2 linked regions of the Neurospora crassa OR74A genome follow. Each later gene encodes a partner of the first gene's protein in a complex. Links are inferred from orthologs where the notes say so. Each region holds a gene or a part of one and is shown on either strand. Other genes may lie near its edges.

Region 1 (5,766 bases):
CCACAATTCCAATAAACGGCCTCTGTTGCCATGACCAAACACAAGAGAGAAATCTTGTTGATGTGTTGCCCAAAACAATCTTGGCGATCTTTGTGGCCATATATATCAGTATTGGTGAAGAACCCGTTGATGTGGTAACACGGCTTGGTTTCTATTCTCGTATGATTTCGCCGTCCGATGGAAGCATGGAAGAATGGAAGCACAAAACAAGCGAAGCTGATGTGAAGCTGACATTGTCCGTCGAAGATCATCAGGTGGGACGGGATGCGATGCCAAGACTTCGACCATGAAGTCGGACTTACCAGCCACTCCTAACTCCTCTTTCCAGCTGGGTGCAGTGGGGTTGGCCAAGGTGCATTTACCCAACAAGGAAGGCGGTGGGACTTTGCTACAGGGGGCATTCAGGTGCTGAACAGGCCCGGGGATCGATCGGCCTTCTGAATGATGACATGAGTTGGGTGGTGAGGTTCAACTTGTTGCCAGCAACACAAAGTCACAACGAAACAGCTGATTGCACGAATTGCCGGCAACAATGAGATAGCCATTGTATTTTGCCTAAAAACAACGTTCTTTGGGGAGAGAAACTACAACAACATCAGAGACCAAATCTCATCTCCTACGACCGAAAACCCGCTCAAGAAAAATACACCAAATTTGTAGCGGCAGCATGAGAGTTGAAATTGCCGTGCCCGCGATCGCGGCGCTCTGTTACAGGGCTTACTCCAAGAAGTCGTTGACACCCGGCGGCATCTTTGCTGCTCTCCTTACGGCCATCGCACACGCAGTTCACCCTTGGAATCTTCCCTTTGCTCTGCTCGTCGTGTTCTTCCTGGCGGGAACGCGGGTAACGCATGTAAGTCTGATGAAGCTCTACCCAGGGGCGGCACAAGTTAGGCGTGGACTTTGACAGCTAATATCGACATCTTTCCCCGGCTAGGTAAAGGAAAACGTCAAGGCCAAGCTCACAGTACACTCCAAGGGCACGTCCGGCGGCGAGGGCCCGAGAAATCACACCCAAGTGTTCGCCAACTCGCTCACGGCTTCCATCTTCTCTCTGCTCCACGCTTATCAGCTGCATGTGCGCAAGCAGACGCTGATCGCTAATCCCACCAGCACAGGGACCGGTAGCCTTTGCTTCTCCTGGGGCGGCGACTTGTTGGTGATTGGTATCATTGCCAATTATGCCTGTGTTGCGGCCGACACCTTTAGCTCCGAGCTGGGCATTCTGTCCAAGGGCGAGCCGCGCCTAATCACAAGCTGGAACTTGCGCAAGGTACCGCGTGGCACCAACGGCGGCGTTTCCCTCGTCGGTCTTGGCGCTGGCCTGTTGGGCAGCATGATCATCGTTACGGCGTCCATGCTTCTTCTGCCTCTTTGCACTGACGAGACGGCTACGAGACTTGGCGGTGCCGCGGGCTGGTCACTGGGACAGCGCCGCATGCTGATTCTCGGTCTCACGGTCTGGGGTTTTTTGGGCAGCGTTGTGGACAGCATTTTGGGCGGGCTCTTCCAGGCCAGTGTCAAGGATGTGCGTACGGGCAAGATTGTGGAGGGCGAGGGTGGCGTGAGGGTACTGGTTACCAACGCTACGAACCCCAACAACGTTGCCGGTCGGACTAAGGCTGAGATTAAGTCGTCTCTTCTGTCTGGCGAGGGGACGGATGCGGTGGAGGATGTCGGCGCCGCTGCCGGTAACAAGTACGATTCGCGCAACAAGCAGCGGAGGTCGAGCTTTGGAGACGAGAGGCCGTCGCGAGTGGTGGAGAACGGCTGGGACCTGCTTGATAACAATGATGTCAACTTCTTGATGGCATTCGGCATGAGCGTGGGAGCGATGGCCGTCGCATCATGGTATTGGGGAGTTCCTCTGCAGTCTGTGTTGTCGCCATGGTGGGCATAAGGCAGTCGCAGGTGGGTGGTGAATGACTTTCGCTAGAGATGTTGGCTAGCTAAACAATTCCATGGATGACATATGAGAGCTCAGTCGTCATTTTGATTACACATTCAGATCACGGCTTTGGGTGAAGCTTGGGCAGGTACCTTGCTCGCTATCCGGATGATGCTAACCAAAAGCCGGCGCGATTGACCATTGAGGTTCTCATTGTACCAAACATCCACAATTCAAGACCAGCGATCCGTACATGGGATCGAAGACCAGCCTGGCTTACAATTGAATCCTTTGGTATTCTATACACGAGAACGTTGTATACCTAGTCTTTGTAATTTCGACTTGCTACCATTTTGGGCCATAATGTGTGGTAGACACGTATAGGCGTACACAGGGCTTTTATCGGCCTTGTGACAATGGTCCTGTGACCGAGCCGGATGACCTCCCCTCGGCCAGCCAGGCGGTAGTAACGAAACATGAAGTAGGTACAGTAGCTGATGAATGATGGAACTTTCCGTCCGGCTCGGCAGCCCCGTTGTACCTAAGTTAAGGTGGCCGCTTTCCGGAGCGCTCTGACCCCGCGATGCTGCCGTTTGTCGTCCCTGCATCCTTCCAACTCCTCCACTAATTCCCCCATTCTTCACCCCAGATCCCCGCCCGACTCCTTCCACCCCGTTTTCCATTACACCATCTCTGGATTGTTGCCCCGCTGCAGTGTTCGCTTGTCCACTTCCTCCTATGGAACCTAACAGCTCCAACACCCACTTGATTGCCCGCTGCGCTGCCCGTCCACCGCGATTGCTGATTCTTGTCGGCTGACAACCGAACACCGACCGAATGCGCATCCGATACATGATGTTCTCCTGAACAAAGCAAGGCGGTACCTTACATCGACCGACGACGCTACAACACAGACAGCCCACCGAGCCTTGACTTGACGTCCCTAGCTTCATTAGCTCCAACCTCTTGGGTCTGTTCGCTCCCGCTCCCAGGATTCAATCGAGGGACCATCGCGGTTCCTCCATTGCCCATTCACCCTCTTCACCAGCCAGTCGGACGACATCTGGTCAGACGAAACGAACGACCTTCCATCCGCGATTCAGTGTCGTCCACTTGTGTTGCAAGCGACTCCGTCTGCCATGGCACAGGCCTACGATGACGAGGAGCTTTCCATCTCCTTGTCTCCTTCTCAGATCCGAAGTCGCAATAAGCGATCCGGCGATGGCGCATCAGGCTTCGGCCCCAGTACCGGCAACCTCCACGAATACGGTCAACACGGTCAGCAATTACACCCTAATATCAACGCCGTCATGGCCGACGCACCCCTCCGCGACAAGATGCGCACCGAGCAGCGCATCGGTGCCTATAACATTGTCAAGACGCTCGGCGAAGGCAGCTTCGGAAAGGTCAAGCTGGCTGTCCATCGCATGACCGGCCAGCAGGTCGCTCTCAAGATCATCGCCCGCAAGAAGCTCATCAGCCGCGACATGCAAGGTCGCGTAGAGCGCGAGATTGAGTATCTTCAATTGCTAAGGCATCCCCATATCATCAAGCTGTAAGGCACCCCTCGACGCCCATGCGCAGCAGACGTTGGCTCTGGTCCTTTACGTACACGTTGGCTAACCCGGCGCGCATACCAGGTACACCGTTATCAAAACACCAACCGAGATCATCATGGTGCTAGAGTATGCCGGCGGCGAATTGTTCGATTACATTGTTCAACATGGAAAGATGAAGGAGGACGAAGCCCGCCGCTTCTTTCAGCAGATGCTATGCGCCGTCGAATACTGTCATCGTCACAAGATCGTTCATCGCGACCTAAAGCCCGAAAACCTCTTGCTGGACGATAATCTCAATGTCAAAATTGCCGATTTTGGTCTTAGCAATATCATGACCGACGGTAATTTCCTCAAGACCAGCTGCGGCTCTCCCAATTACGCGGCTCCCGAGGTCATTGGCGGCAAGCTTTACGCAGGACCCGAAGTCGATGTCTGGAGTTGCGGTGTCATTCTTTACGTCCTACTCGTCGGGCGCCTCCCTTTCGACGACGAGCATATCCCCAGTCTTTTTGCCAAAATTGCGCGTGGAAGCTACATGGTGCCGACCTGGATGAGTCCCGGCGCGGCGTCACTAATCAAGAAGATGTTGGTTGTCAACCCTGTTCAACGTGCCACAATTGACGAAATCCGCCAGGACCCGTGGTTCCTCAAGGATCTGCCGGCTTACCTTCACCCTCCTGTTGAGGAGTTCCTCAATACTGGCGTGGACCCCAACAAGGCCATCAAGGTTAGCGACATTGCGCCAAATGCCCCTCCGCAGGAACAGGAGAAGTTGCATAATGAGGTCACGGAGAAGATCAGTAAAACCATGGGCTACGGCAAGAGAGATGTCGAAGAGGCCTTGGAGGCCGATGAACCCTCGGCCATCAAAGATGCCTACATGATCGTGCGTGAGAACAAGCTGATGCAGAGTAACCGTGAGTCTACGCTCCCTCCCAGCAAGTCTTTTGTCTTCTCATCATTGGAACCTATCGATCCCTTTGCGATGCTATACTCGTCCGTTTTGTCCTTCTTTCGCAGTTGATTTTGCCACGTCCCATCCTCCTTCGGCGTCCATTTTACACTTGCCTAGTGGTGAACATCGCTTGACGCAAAAAAAAAGCAAATCCTTGAGTTTGCGACCATCGTCCTTTTGGAGCAACACCAATGAGGAATACCAGGATACCCTACTAAAAACCGATGAAGAAATTCCAGGCCTCACGACAGAGGAGTCTGTCCCGAGTCCGCTCCATGACCCGAATATGTCATCAGCTCGCTCGATCGCATCCGTTAGCACAGCAACTTCACCGCGGCCATATGTCAGCAAGATCGGTATTTTGCCTAGCAGTCTTCCTACCTACCACAGGGTCTTTATGGAGCGAGAGAAGGCCAAGGCCGAAGGTCTTGAGCCCCCTGATGCCATCCCCACCATCGTTGAGCCGGCAAATCAGCCGCGCAGCCAAGCTGAACAAGAAGAGACTATCCGAAGACTCAAGCCACATTCGAGGAGTCAACTTCGCCTTGACGAGGCCAACAAGCGCCCACAAGGACTTACCCCCGTCCACCCGCCCAAGAAGAACAAGCCTGCTCGATGGCAATTTGGTATTCGATCCCGGAACGCTCCTTGGGAGGCGCTGGTGTGTATTTACAAGGCGCTAAACAAGCTTGGCGCTGGGTGGATTGTCGATGAAGACTACGAAAGAGCCCACCGGGACGATGACGACACTGATGACTATGATGGGCCTAGTATCGGGTCCCGCAAGAAGTCATCATCCAGCATGGATCCCACCAAGACATATAGACTTCCTGCGGACCCCTGGCATATCAAGATTCGGTGGACAACTGATAGTGAGTTTCCGGTCTGTCCGGCCCAAATGGCAAAGTTTGGCTAACATTGGCTGTCAGAGCTCAAAAAGCATTCGGTTGCCTCCGGCCTCAGCGAAGCAGGAGAGAACACGCATGTTAGCCGGGATGGCAGCGACAGCAAATACCAGGTTGTGGCCATGCGTATGGAGATTCAGATATACGAAATGGAGCACGGCGTCTATCTTGTCGATTTCAAGGTAGACGGGTACGAGACCCCCGATGGAAAGCTTCTAGAGGATAAGGAAGTCACGAGCCCCTTCCCCTTCCTTGATATGGCGGCCAAACTCATCATGCAGTTGGCAGACGCAGATTGAGGTGCCCCGACAATCAATTAATGGCTTGCGGTCGCTACGTTCATGCCTTTGGTTTTGTTTCACAGATTCCGTGCCTTCAGTTCTGGCTAATGCGTTGCTGATACCTTTGTACCCTTTGCATATACTTACCGCAGCCTACACTGTTGGACACCATCAACGA
Region 2 (5,434 bases), about 3.0 Mb from region 1:
GCGTCGAAGCTGCCACTGCCTCGCAATCGCGCCCTGGCCACTGAGACCCGAATCACAGAGCGCACCATTACACATACACGGGCAGGGCAGCGAGGCAGCTTCCAGAGCCCGGGCGTCTGGGGGAAAAGTGGGTCGTGCGCTGAGGTGGCACCTGCGGTTGTGGATGCTCCTTGCGACTGGACCCGACCTAGGGTGCCACTGGATTTGATGTCATCACCACAACGACGACGCCATCCTCCATCCAGGCTTGCCAGGGACCCAAATTAGGGACGAAGGCGCGTAGAGTAGAAGATACTGTAGGTACCTACTTGGTGTTTCCATTGATGGGTTGCAATCATTCATTCCCTTTCTTTCTAGAGCTTTTGAGTCTTTGTCTTTGCCGAACAGCGGGTAGTATCTCCTGTCGGATCTTTCCACTCTCAATAGGTACTGTCCTCCAGTGTAGTATCCTGGTCCAGCCGCATCACAAGAACAAGTCACCTCACCCACTATCACAACCACACAGGCTGTGACTCTGTATACGGCAACTGAAGTGTACATGACCTTTGACCTTTCATTGTCTCCGACCCAAAGAATGTGTGGTGTCTCAGCACCAGGGAATACCCGATTCGTGTACTCTGTCGTACATACAAGGGAATTTGGGGGTCTACTAGGTTGTTAACGGATCTACCGGTCGCTGTGCCGTGTTTCGTTCAAGACGAAAAAGTGACTTGATGCAGTGACGACCGTTGAGTGTCAGTTAAGTTCGGAAGTAGCGTGGTGGTGTTAGATACGTATCTTGTCATCTCATTTCTTTGATCGCCATGCCACCCGGATTGATTTGTTTTCTTTAGGCCTGGGCACGTTTATGGAATCGTGGCACGTTAATGGCTTGCTTCAATTGGCCAGCTATATGACCATAAGGAGCTATAGGAGGTGGGCGTGAGCAGCCTGGCGTTGGTGAATGTTGACACAGCATGATGAACGTTCAACATCTGAAACATGGACATCGCTTCCCACATCTTATATTTGCAAAGACATCGGAGATCTTACTCCGCAAGACGCACGTTGCAGTTCTAGACACCTTATTCAGAACCACTGGAAGATATATTCTTGCTTTTACCATAGCCTATATGACCATGGCTTCCTCTCGCGAGAGGCTGGTAAGTTACTTTTGTTTTCCATTCAGCAACGGCTTTGAAGAGAGGACCCGGTTGGCTTTCATCACAGCACATAGTATCGAGATGGTTGGAGGGTACACAGGATAGAGGAGTTCAGAGCAGGAAGGGCATGTTCACTAAGGAGTAGTGATTGCCACTGTTCAAGTCAACTTTCATGTACTTGTTCCAGATTTGAAGCCGTTCAAAACACAACCTAGGAAGTGTATGATTTGCCAAGCGATGACACTCTCAACACACATTGTACATATCAAAGTGAAGAGCAACCTTTTAAAGATGTACAAGTATGTACGCCGGTCTCGGTCACGAATCAAAGGTCGAAAGAAGCTTTATCTACACGTGTGGGTCCTTATCGCTGCCCAGCACCTTGCACCAAAATTACCTGAGGGGTCGGGTCCGGGATTGCCTACCTAAACCAGACCGAAACACCCCATCGACGCCCGATAAACCTGGAATGGAACTGGAACCGGCCCAGCGCAAGCAGCAAGCATCCCCTCCTCCGTGACAGGCTCCATTGTTGTGTAGCGCTCTGGCAACCTAAGTGGAGGGAGAACTCGACTCCCTGGTCAACGCCGACTTCTGGCCCGCTCCGTCTACATTCAAGTGAACCACTGCTTTATAGTATCACCATCCCTTTCACTCTCGAGTATCCCGTCCATCACCGCCGAAACTGCCGTTGCGGTGAATCCACCATTTTGCCTCCGAACGGGTCGACCGAATACAACAAAGGAACGGCTAGATTCAGCTACCGTATTAATTCCCGTCCATCTTAGTGTAGTCGATTGCGCCCAAGTCCTCCTACTTGCGACGACTGCCACCTACCTCTAGGTCATCCAACTACGTGGTCGCTTCAACTTTCTTGCCCTTCTTTTTCCGTCTCTTGGCTCTCATCCAAACGACGCCCCTCCGCCTTCGTTACTTTGCACTTCGCGGTCGGCAGTTACACACAACTATTCACCTCTGTCAAATCCAATTGACGTCGAAAGCCGAGACCGCCCACGGATTCGGAACCAAGGGAACAGGACAGGACACGGTCAAGGGGCTGAAAGGAAGAGAGGGGATATCCAAGATATCAGTATAGAAACGGAGCCTTAATCACACCGGTTGAAAACTGTGGGTGGACGGCGCGTCCATACTCCGTCAACGGAAGCAAAGCTCCAAGTACCGGGCAAGACAGAACTGCAACGGGGGTCCTTCCCCAATGTATGTTCCACGACCGCGATAATGGACGACTCTTGTACTCCCCCTGACCAGGCGGCTTCTGGTACCGGCAGTGATGCCGCCGGTGTTTCTCCCCAGGCTTCCCAACCTTCCACAGCCTCAGCTGGGAACAGCAATACCGATCCCAATCTCAATGGCCCATTGACGCTCCGACCTGGTCACGAGCTGCCTTTCGTTGCGCCATCATCCTACCTTCGTCCCAAACCAAGCAGTCGCACAATGTCAGATAAGACGTCAAATCCCCTGGACAAGGACCAGATGCAGGGTCTGGTGAGCATCCCAATTCCGAGACAGCACACCCATAATATTCCCTACCATCAGTCCATTCTCCCTTGACTTCCATCCACATGAAAATTCCATGGCCCCAAGCTGCCGCTGCCAATCTAGTCCGGTTGAACTCTTCCGGCTCGGTTGGCCTCTATGCGAGATGCCGGCGTCCATGGCCCTAATCCTTGCTCATGATATGCCGTCGAAGGAGGCAGCTTGGCAGAAAAAGAAAAGAAAAGAAGAAGAGGAAAACCACAAGACACAATCAGCCTTTGTTCATGGGCTTGTCGCTGACTGACCATTGATGCAAACAGAGAGGTATTCGCGAGTTCCTCAAGGTCCGCACCAGTTACGATGTCTTGCCGCTCTCCTTCCGCCTAGTCATACTCGACAACGATCTCCTTATCAGGAAGAGCCTCAATATTCTGATCCAAAACGGTACGATTACAAGGCAAAACTAGCTTGGCCAGTGTGGTGATATTGTGATGCTGACCGTCCTCATTTAGGCATTGTCTCGGCACCGCTCTGGGACTCGCGCAACGGAACCTTTGCTGGCTTGCTTACTAGCACTGACTACATCAATGTCATCCAATATTACTGCCAGTTCCCCCACGAAATCGATCAAGTCGATCAATTTCGGCTGAGTAGCCTTCGAGGTGAGTGCCATCATCAGGGACTATCGAGGTCCTCTCTTGCGGGGCGTCAGGCTGACGAGTAATGCATGTAGATATCGAAAGGGCCATTGGTGTTCTGCCGCTCGAGACCGTATCTGTCCATCCCATGCGCCCATTGTACGAAGCCTGTCGACGAATGCTTAAAACGCGAGCTCGGAGAATTCCCTTGATCGACACGGACGACGAGACAGGCCGAGAGACTGTTGTCAGTGTTATCACACAATACCGCATCCTGAAGTTCATCGCGGTCAACAACGAGCAGCACACGATGTTGCTAAAGAAGCCCGTGAGGGAGATTGGCTTGGGAACCTACACCGACCTTGCTACGGCGAACATGAACAGCTCCGTTCTGGATGTCATTCACCTCATGGTCAAGTACAACATCTCGGCTGTGCCAATTGTCGACAAGGACAACAGAGTTATGAATCTATTTGAAGCCGTCGACGTCATACCCTGTATCAAAGGGGGTGCGTACGACGAGCTGACAGCGACTGTTGGCGACGCCTTGTCTCAGAGAGCTGAAGATTTCGGGGGCATTTACACGTGCAGCGAAGAGGATCGCCTGGACTCGATATTCGAAACCATCCGAAAGTCTCGAGTACATAGGTTAATTGTTGTTGACGATGACAGCCGCCTCAAGGGAATCATCTCTCTCTCGGATATCCTCAAATACGTATTGCTCTACGGCGAGGAAGAGGATGACCTACAGGAATATTAAAAGGGAACACGAAGAATGGGCGGCACTTGTCATGGCCTTAGGTTGGCTATAGGAAGGTATGGTTTTGTTTTGCATTGCATGGCGCTTTTGTTTTTGGAGGGTATGTCGAATCAGTGGAACACTAGGGTCGTATATTCTTACCTCCTCGATGGGCCATATAGATGGAATCTTCTCTCATCCTGGAACACGGCAAGAGGAGGTGCTGTTATTGCTGAACAATGGCTTACTAGTGGTCCTGCTCTAAAATTCCTCTTCCATTCCACCCTGCCCCGTACAGCACTGGATTGACGTGGTCACTTCGGTACTGTAGTGATGTTCAGGTAGTGGTGAGCATATTTACCTGCTTTGTAGATATGGATACCTAGGTATTTGAATGTTCAACTGACAACGAGGCAGGTCTAGATGAGAATGTGCTCGCCTTGAGTTTTAGCCAGCGCAATGGCGTCGGCCATAAATTACTATCTAGGTAGTTGTTAGGCAGTGTAGTAAGGTGACTCAGCGATGGTTGTGATTGTCATTTTTTGTTTCTTCCTCTGACACTTGGTCGCTTCGTTGCTTCCTTGGTTTCCCGTCTCTTCTATTCATTGCTCCACCTACCTCTTAGGTGGGTTATCAGTCTCATCGGGAAGGAACAGGTTGGACACAAAGAGCGACATGAGAATACGGGAAGCAGCAGTTTACGACAAACGACACGATGCGTCAATCCATGCTCTGGGCTTAAGTTTTCTAGAGGGCTTTCACAAAGCATCATCAGTTTGCAGTCACTTTGGATATCTTGTCGTACTATCGCCTCCCAGATACCTTCTTTTACTTGTTTCGACGTCTGTATATCCTCCAAAAGAACGAAGGCATGCAAAACTATCATTACGAAACCGACCGGACATCCGTTGCATCGGTCGGTGCGCCCTCAACCCCCAAGAGCCTCTTGCCCAGACGCGTACCCAAGAGAGGGCAGACAGATGAAAGGTCAAGTACATGGCGCGGTATCCCTCAATCCGCCACGGCAGGCCGACTTCCAGATCCTGTGGCATATAGGCGTGCGAGCAGAAGCAGTGCGACATGGACATCATCCAGTGGCGATGTCGGAGGCTACTCCGATGCAGACGAACTCCAAGATCGAGGAGACTTTGTGCGAGAGTACAATAGACTCGCAGCCAAGGTTAGCTAACCCGCATCTTCCGACTGTTCGTGTTGAGAAGCCCACTGACTAGAGGTTATAGCATGGGCTCCGCCTACTTCCGCCCAACGATGATGGCCCTTCGTCGGTAAGTGGCCGTTACCCCTGGTGACTGTATGGACCGCTGACCAACACGATAACCAGAGAGAAGCAACACCAAGTCCACACAGAAGAGGATGGTTTTCCCGCACATTCCGGCGCCACCCGTCGGGCGCCAGTA

Evidence for each region. The genes of interacting proteins can lie anywhere in the genome.
Region 2: the proteins of prk-10 (region 1) and NCU01471 are in contact, whole or in part, in a crystal structure (PDB 3T4N), measured with the Saccharomyces cerevisiae proteins. The link is inferred for Neurospora crassa OR74A from reciprocal best matches to the Saccharomyces cerevisiae genes SNF1 and SNF4. Residues at the interface, in NP_010765.3 of Saccharomyces cerevisiae: Ser465, Thr466, Val467, Ser468, Ile469, Leu470, Thr472, Ser473, Leu474, Pro475, Gln476, His478, Arg479, Met482, Ser487, Ala489, Ala490, Ile493, Ser494, Pro495, Leu496, Thr498, Lys499, Lys500, Ser501, Tyr550, Pro563, Gly588, Trp589, Ser608; in NP_011400.1 of Saccharomyces cerevisiae: Leu41, Val43, Leu58, Gln59, Ser61, Trp68, Ser70, Ser73, Phe75, Asp151, Gln152, Asp153, Glu154, Glu155, Thr156, Ile160, Met204, Leu232, Ile233, Asn234, Gly243, Lys246, Leu255, Gly258, Glu259, Leu261, Met262, Arg263, Arg264, Ser265.

The regions. Positions count from the first base shown.
Region 1 is NC_026505.1:1,659,694-1,665,459, reverse strand, and holds the start of prk-10 (protein kinase SNF1), read left to right. Parts: upstream 1-2,547; 5' UTR 2,548-3,027; coding exon 3,028-3,443; intron 3,444-3,528; coding exon 3,529-4,364; intron 4,365-4,632; coding exon 4,633-5,274; intron 5,275-5,331; coding exon 5,332-5,606; 3' UTR 5,607-5,766. Other genes in the region: NCU11040 (DUF92 domain-containing protein), read left to right, coding at 668-853, 938-1,900. UniProt on the Saccharomyces cerevisiae protein: Serine/threonine protein kinase essential for release from glucose repression.
Region 2 is NC_026505.1:4,627,928-4,633,361, reverse strand, and holds NCU01471 (nuclear protein SNF4), read left to right. Parts: upstream 1-1,562; 5' UTR 1,563-2,381; coding exon 2,382-2,648; intron 2,649-2,959; coding exon 2,960-3,083; intron 3,084-3,151; coding exon 3,152-3,301; intron 3,302-3,372; coding exon 3,373-4,037; 3' UTR 4,038-4,828; downstream 4,829-5,434. Other genes in the region: NCU01472 (hypothetical protein), read left to right, coding at 5,117-5,196, 5,258-5,302, 5,385-5,434. UniProt on the Saccharomyces cerevisiae protein: Adenine nucleotides-binding subunit gamma of AMP-activated protein kinase (AMPK), an energy sensor protein kinase that plays a key role in regulating cellular energy metabolism.